Linked DNA regions of Macaca mulatta. The protein of the gene in region 2 purifies or fractionates together with the protein of the main gene of each other region. This does not show direct contact. Links are inferred from orthologs where the notes say so. Each region holds a gene or a part of one and is shown on either strand. Other genes may lie near its edges.

Region 1 (3,822 bases), on a different chromosome or scaffold from region 2:
CAGGAGACTGTAGTATATAAGACTGTTTGCCCTATGTACTGAATGGTACTGGACTACCATGTTTTTGGGGCCATTTGTCTGCTCTTGTTTTTCATCTTATCTCTACCACTTGGTGCAGTCTGTCTGTCCTTAATCCTCACTTTTTGTACCCTGCCCAAGATTTGCTACATGTGATCTGAGTAAATAGTAAAAATCTCTCAGTGAAGATCTTAACTGTTAGTAAAGTTTATGAATACTTAAGGATAGGCATTGTCATATCTGTCTTGGGTTTTTTAAAGTTAGATTTTGGTATTAGCTTTTTGTCTTCCTGATTCTCAGCTGTTTTTGAAAGTTGAGGGAGAAGCATTTATTTGCATATCTGCTTTGTTCTGGGTAACTTACATGATCTCACTTAATACTCATCCCACTAAATCTTCACAACAATCTTACGGGAAGATAGTGTTTTCTCACTTTATGATGAGGAAAATGAGGATTGCAGACTGATTAGAGATAAGATTTATGTGATTTCAGATCTTGTCTGGGCTTTGCACGAAACCGGCTGCCTGGTTGTGATCATCAGATCATAACATGCTGCCTTTCCACTCTGTTGTGCTGCGTGACATGGTTAGGTGCTTGATTTCTAGATGAATTAGTTATTAACTTGTGTAAGTCTCAAGTTTCTAGCTTTGAGTAAGTGCGAGTTTGAAGTAGTACTAACTTGGGAATGGTAACCTCCAAAACAATGCAGTGCAGTTGTTGATCTCAGCTGTCTTAATGCATGAAACATGTTGAAACATGTCAATGTTAGCATGTGAACTTTTTTTGCAAGGGAGGAAAATTGAGATAATATTCCTTTGAATCATGAGCAACAAGTGGTTGATAAGTGCTATATCCCTGGCCAGCTTTTTTGTGTTACTTGCTTCATAGCTGAGCCACATCAATTTTATTTGGCTCCCTGTGTAGTGGGTCAGTTTGACTTGGCTCTCTGTGTAGTGGTATTAGAAACTACCATCTTAACCTTGTTCTGTCACCTGAAGGATGAGCAAAGCAAAAACAAACTATATGTATATGTCTGTATGGGGGGAGGGAGAGAGGACAGGTTTATGAACAAGTTTATGATCAAGTACAGTACATTGTACATAGTTAAAAAAAATCACTGTCTGAAAAAATAGAAAAATAACATTAATGAACTATTAATATATGAGGAGTAGTTAATATTTTATTCTAATGGAAATTTTAACTAACATGACTTCAGAGTAAACACTCAAAAGTCCAGCTGAACATTTTATTTTTAAGAAAAAGATAAATTAACTCTTTATTTAATCAAACTTTTTTAAAACTTTAGGTCGTGTCATATAAATGTATGATTATTTCTCTGATAATGTAGAGTTTTTCCAATACTATTCTTTCATGTTCAGTGATAGGAAAACTGAGTAGATTTTAAAAGGGTAATTTTTTACAGTGAAAATTATAATCTTTCATATTACATGTTCTCCTTGCCTTCTATTTAGATTTTTTTGACACTTTATTATTACTATGTTTATTGTGAAAATGGAGTTTGTTGTCTTCAGTGCCCTACCCCACACATTTGATTACGAAAAGGGATGTTACTATATCATTCTTCTGTAACCTAAAAGCAGTCAGGTTTCTTATTATTTCATATTCAGACTGCTGTCAAGAAACCAATTATAGTACCTGACAGATCCCACTAAAATTTAATCTTTGAAAAGATGTTTCAAAAGATCAGATGCTTCACTTACTTAGAAAATGTTTGGAAACAGCCTGGTCTCCCTGTATTGCCTTGTTTTCCTAATAAATTGTCTGTAAATGATTTTTCTATTAATCTGTTTAAAAGCAGAGTTTATTTTCAAGCTTTAGGGAAATATATCTCATTTGAACTTGCTCTTCATCTTGATAATGGACATGCTTTGCTTCTTCAACAACAGGACAATATCATCTTTAATTTTTTTCTTTTGCATTTGCACTACCTAATAACATGCCAAAAACATTTTAGTTGTCATTTTCATTTATTCATAAATGCATTTTATTCATGTATTTTATTCATAAATGCATCTGTTTTTAGACTGTTGTATTAGACTCTGAGGCGATAGAAGAGTAGTGATAGTGTTCCAGAGTTACTTGCTCCTTCTGCCAACTAATGTTAATCTGAGGTTTACAATTCAGCTTTCCTCCAAGAATTTTTGACACTTTTGCATATTCTGCTGTATAGAAAAGTAAACTGATTTTCTTCCAGAGTCATTGTCTGGAAACTGAATTTCCCATTTTAACCTTATTTCTTTCACACTGCTGCTTGGATTGCAAACCACATGTTTTAGTCTTTATAAAAAGTTTGTATCTTCTTGCAAGGATCGCACTTCAGCAATATCTTTGTCATTCTGAAAGTAATGTTTCTGAATGTAGTGGTGAAGAATGGTAAGTGGAATCATTACTTCCAGAAGATCACTTACATATTTACTTCATGTTTATATTCTCATTTGAGTACCTGTTCTCCTTTGAAGCACTACATGTGCTACATATCTCATCTTGGTGACTTGAGAAGGAAGTTCATAGTTTTTCTGTCACTTTTTATGTATACATTGAACATGCATCTCCATCTACATTTTATTTTAATTCTTTTGGACCTTAATGAATTCTAGATCCAAGTTGGAAAAAATATGGACTTAGCCATGCAAGATCCATTTCTTACCTGCTTTGCTCTCATTTGCCATTGCTGCTGCTTATCTTGCATCCCCTGTTGGTAATCAAATAGCATGTTTATAATCAAGATTCTTTTTTCTCTATGACATTTGTTCTGTAATATAAATGCCATTGGTTTTCATCCAGACTGTGATCTGCCTTCTAGTTCTCACGGAGTAGTACACATGGCCATTACCAGACTCCTTCAAGTGCCAGAAGCAATCAAATATTTTGAATTTTCTCTTATTTTTCTCATTAGGGTGCAGCATAGATGCCAAGCAAGTTGAGGAACAATCTGCAGCTGCAAATGAAGAAGTACTTTTTCCTTTCTGTAGGGAACCAAGTTATTTTGAAATCCCTACAAAAGAATTCCAGCAACCATCACAAATAACAGAAAGCACTATTCATGAAATCCCAACAAAAGACACACCAAGTTCCCATATAACAGGTGCAGGGCATGCTTCATTTACCATTGAATTTGATGACAGTACCCCAGGGAAGGTAACTATTAGAGACCATGTGACAAAGTTTACTTCTGATCAGCGCCACAAGTCCAAGAAGTCTTCTCCTGGAACTCAGGACTTGCCGGGGATTCAAACAGGAATGATGGCGCCCGAAAACAAAGTCGCTGACTGGCTAGCACAAAACAACCCTCCTCAAATGCTATGGGAAAGAACAGAAGAGGATTCTAAAAGCATTAAAAGTGATGTTCCAGTGTACTTGAAAAGGTTGAAAGGTAAAGTGATTTGATCATTCAGAACTTCCTATTTTATGATAAAGAAAATCCAGTCTGCAGTTACTATACTACTAGTAGATATTTACATGGTAGAAAACATTCTGCTTTTTTCAAAGGTTATATTTAATTTTAAAACTCAAGAGGAAGCCACACCACCCATGTCCAACTTCCTCGCTCAAATTAGTCTTTCTTCATTTTCTTGACAAAACCAGATTGGTTTTATGAACTTATATTTATGCTGTAAAACATGTTTCTTTTTCTTCTAGAAATACAAAATTTGTTAAGTTCACCAGTAGGATTCCCTAGCAGATGAGTTCCATCATTTTCTTGATTTAAGGAAAAGCTGTGTTCAATTCTGTTCTCTATTATCATTAATACCTAGATTCTGAAAGACATTTTAAGTTGGTATG
Region 2 (4,249 bases):
ACCTGAAAGAGTTCCCAGTGGTCAAAGCTGGAACCATCTGAGCAACAAAATTAATAATGTAGTATTGAATTCTAGCCAAAAATATAAAATAAATATACATGGGTCCATATTGACATAACAAATACTGAAATAAATGATTGAGTAAACAAGAGAGATGGAACAAATCTTCCTTACAGAATAATTCTAAATAATAATATATGGATACTCCATCCTCTGGGATGGAGTTTAATCTTGCCCTCATCTTGAGTGTGGGTTGAATGGAGTCATGCCATTCAGAGTAGAGTGTATGGAAAGAGAAAAACAGCTTTGCAGTAGATAAACCTGGCAGACACAACCTTAACTAAGGGATCAAGGTCAAGTCACCAGTGATAAGTCACGTGGCCATCGTGCCATCATCCCTGAGAGGATGAGATGGGAAGGCACTTCATCTCTGAGGCTTTCCTCCCCCAAGTCTCATCATGAGAAGAAAACAGTAGACAACACCCATATGAGTGGGTGTCGAGGTACCCCCACAAAACTATACCTTACCAGAATACTTTATCACAATACTTTACTAGAATTCCTTACAGCTGTCGAAGTCAAGAAAAGACAGAGAAACTATTATGAATTAGAGGAGACAAAAGACACAGGAAGTTAAATGCAGCATGGTATCCCGGCCGGGATCCTGAAAGGGAAAGGGGTTAGCCTAAAAGCTAGTGACAGCTACATCAAGTCTGGAGTAGTGTTAATAGTGGCAGATCAATGTTAATTTCTTTTAAAAAATATTTTTAGTAGAAATGAGGTCTCGCTGTGTTGCCCAGGCTGGTCTCGAACTTCTGAGCTCAAGCGATCCTCCTGCCTGCCTTGGCCTCTCAAAATGCTGAGATTACAAGGCGTGAGCCACCGTTCCGGGCCCAGTGAGAATTTCTTAGTTTTGACAAATGTGCCATGGTTGTCGAAGCTGTAGGCATTAGGAGACACCGACTGAGGGGTATATAGAGGACTCTCTCTACTATCTTTGCAACTTTTTTGAGTTCCAAAAGAAAGTTTTTTAAAAAAAAACAAAAAAAAAATGCACTTGTACGCCATAAATTTATACTAAAAACAATAAAATCAAAGATTATTTAAAAAACAAAAAAGTTTATAAACTTAGGGTGCAAATAGAAACTTCTTGAAAAGCAGCAGCCGATCCCCTCCCCCAACCCGCCTGTACAGCACCCTAGCGAGGGGTGTGAGGGTCACAGCCTGGCTCTCCCGCGATGGGCGGGCGCGTCCAGCCGCGACTCCTCCCCGGAGCCTCACCGGCGCCGGACTCTGCCCTGGGCGCGCCCCGCGGGGCGGAGCCAAACCTGCGGGCGGTGGCGGCTGCACTCCCAGGACCCTGGCAACCGACCCTGGCCCCAGGGCCCGATCACCCAGGGGAGGAGCAGCACCGGGACCCCGTGCCGGCTGGGCGCCCCCCAAGGTAGGCGAGTCCGAAGGTAGGGATCTTCGGGCCCGGTCCCTGCGGCGCGCCCCCGCATCCCCTCCAGGTATGTGGGTGTCCAGGTGTCTTTCCAGCGGCTTCCCCAGCGGAGCTCCTGGCATCAAAGACATTTCCTGTAAAAGGGTCCTTGGTGAAGAGGTAATCCTTCCTGAAAATCTAGGTTCTGGGCTCGAATTTCCTGGGCGAGAAGTTTCTTCTCCACTGGGAAGAGTTACTTTTTTTCCGCAGAGAGGAACCCCTACTTAACCCGGCGCACACCTGATTATTTATTTAGGTTGTTGTTATACAATCCGTTTGTCAGGGGTCCCCGCGATTTCTGCCTGCTAATTTCAGAGGCTGTGGAGAAAAGTCCTGCGGTAAACGCCCTGACCTGGGAACTCCAGCGTGGTGACTTTGACAGGTCACTGCGCTCGTATTTTTTAAACAGCAGAGATGAATGAGGGTGGCTGTCTTCATTCATTTGTCCGGGCTTCCGCAGCTGCAGGTGTAGTTAAAAGAACAGCCCATTGCTTGACCGTTTCCTGCATGTTGAGTAGGCATCATGAGATTTTAGAGCTGGAAGTTACAGAGTGCTAGGCAGCTAGACAAAGGAACACTTACCTTACTAAAGACTAGTATGGGACCGTGCAGGTGTAGTTTTTAGACTGGATGATAACATAGCTGTGAATTTTCAGCCTTTTTGGAAGTGAAGACAAAATTGAATATAAGGATCAGAAAAAGCAACAAGCCCTGAAGCTAACTGAAGCTGCGTCTGTTCCCCATTATATTCTAATTGTTTTATTTTAGGAATCAAAACCTCTTTTACTTTCTTGGTGTATATAGATCGGATGAAGTGTCAGAATACAAAAAGGAATTATTCTGTGTTTGTGATAGAGAGGAGATAATCTGTCCTTTTGATTTTACCTAATGCTATTAAATATTCAGAGCTACTGAAGTCCGGTTTTCCTGAAATGTGAGCTGGGCAGGAGTGTCAGGTACCCTGGCAGACACAATTGGTGCTGTTGTTACGCTTTTCCCCTGCTGCCCACCCCCTTCTCCACCGCACTCCCAGTTTGAGTGAAGGCCCTTGACACAGAGGAATTTCTGCCCAAGGCAGGGAGTGTCCCCGTGTGGTTCCTCAAATGTTTACAGAAAGAATGAAAACAACTATACTTCCTGGGACCCGGGCTGACGTCACAAGGCCAACGTCATAAGAAGGTTCTTACCTCTTGCTATTTACAAAATAAATTGATCCCTTGTCCTAACTAGAAAGAGACTTTTGAAATTAATACTGATGCTATTTTGTGAATTACGGATAGGCATGTTATTTGTTAGCTTATTTGTTTATAGTGTGCTCAACACTGAAGGTGAGTTGTAATCCAAATTTTGGCCAAAGCTAAAAAACGTAAGCTAAATTTAGACAAAGCTGAAAAATGAGGTGTATGTTTGCTTGGAATAATGACTGAAAGGGAAATAACTGAAGATTTTGGTGGGAATGTAAAAGTCTTTTAAAGTAGTAGTTTCTCATCTTTTGAACTGAGATATTTACATCAAAATTATATGGCTATTTATTGACTGAAAATATTTCATAATGGCAAAATTTTACCATGAATTTACTAACATGTTTAAATGAATGTCATTTACTAAAATGACATTCAAAAACAGCCATTTATGTGGGTTTGGAAAACGAGAGAGAGAGAGAGATTGTGTGTGTGTGTGTGTGTGTGTGTGTGTGTACATTCAGTTTTAGAAACTATTTGGTGCATCTGTAAATTTGTGGGCCTATTCATGTAATCACTAAAACAATATTTATTGAGGGCACTGTGTTCTGTGTGAGAGAACCAGATGGGAGGGGAAGAAGGTCTGGGCCAAACACAGCCCTGTGTAAATAAGACACAGTTCTGTCCTCCTGGAATTGACTACATTGGAGTCCTCCAGGCCACCCCAAGTCAAGGCCATAGATTTACAGACCACAATGATCCATTCAATTTCGACCGTGACTGAAACCAGATTAGTTTCGAATCACATATTTCCTTAAATTGATTTAAATAGTCAAATCTAAAAATGATAGAGGAGCTTGTGTGTTATTCTAGTCAGTGGTTTTCTCTTTTGTTTAGGTTGGGGAAGAACTTAGGAATCATGTGTTTCAGGCTTAATGCTATGAAATATTAACTTAAAATAGCTAAGTATCAATTTCATGCAAATTAAATAAAAACTAAACTTGTAGTATGGATCACAATAATCTAGAGACAAAAATTAATAAACAAAAAATTTAAAACGGAAAAAAAATCTATCCATTAAATTATTTTTTTGCTATAAATTAGAAAAATATGACTATAATTAGATTTTCCCCCTGGAGGAAAACAGCCTCTTTATTCAAGTTATTCTTACTTTTCCTTCTGTTTTTTTTTTTTAACAGCTTTATTGGAGATATAATTTACGTACCATGAAATATATCTAAGTGTTTCAATGATTTTTGGTAAATTTATTGAATGGTGCAACCATAAGCACAATCCAATTTTATATCATGTCATCATTCCTCAAACATCCCTGGGACCTGTTTGCAATCACTCACCATTCTTACCCCAGCCCCAGACAACCCCTAGTCTATTGTGTCTGTTTAGATCTGCCTTTTCTGGACATTTCATACAGATGGAATCGTACAATATATAGTCTTTAGCATCTGGCTTTTTTCAGTTAGAATAGTTGTTGAGATTTATTCAGGTTGTCACATGTATCTGTAGTTGGTTCCTTTTTATTGCTTGACTAGGGTTTATTCCATGCCATGGCTATGCCACATTTTGT

The links.
Region 1: the proteins of CCDC68 (region 2) and CEP170 purify together in Homo sapiens (co-immunoprecipitation; 3 studies listed by BioGRID and IntAct, counting the BioPlex papers as one, with this or other methods). This does not show direct contact. The link is inferred for Macaca mulatta from reciprocal best matches to the Homo sapiens genes CCDC68 and CEP170.

Annotation. Positions count from the first base shown.
Region 1 is NC_133406.1:5,952,932-5,956,753, forward strand, and holds part of CEP170 (centrosomal protein of 170 kDa), read left to right. Parts: intron 1-2,935; coding exon 2,936-3,412; intron 3,413-3,822.
Region 2 is NC_133423.1:26,038,386-26,042,634, forward strand, and holds the start of CCDC68 (coiled-coil domain-containing protein 68), read left to right. Parts: upstream 1-1,294; 5' UTR 1,295-1,444; exon of another isoform or gene 1,445-1,511; intron 1,512-4,249. UniProt on the Homo sapiens protein: Centriolar protein required for centriole subdistal appendage assembly and microtubule anchoring in interphase cells. Together with CCDC120, cooperate with subdistal appendage components ODF2, NIN and CEP170 for hierarchical subdistal appendage assembly.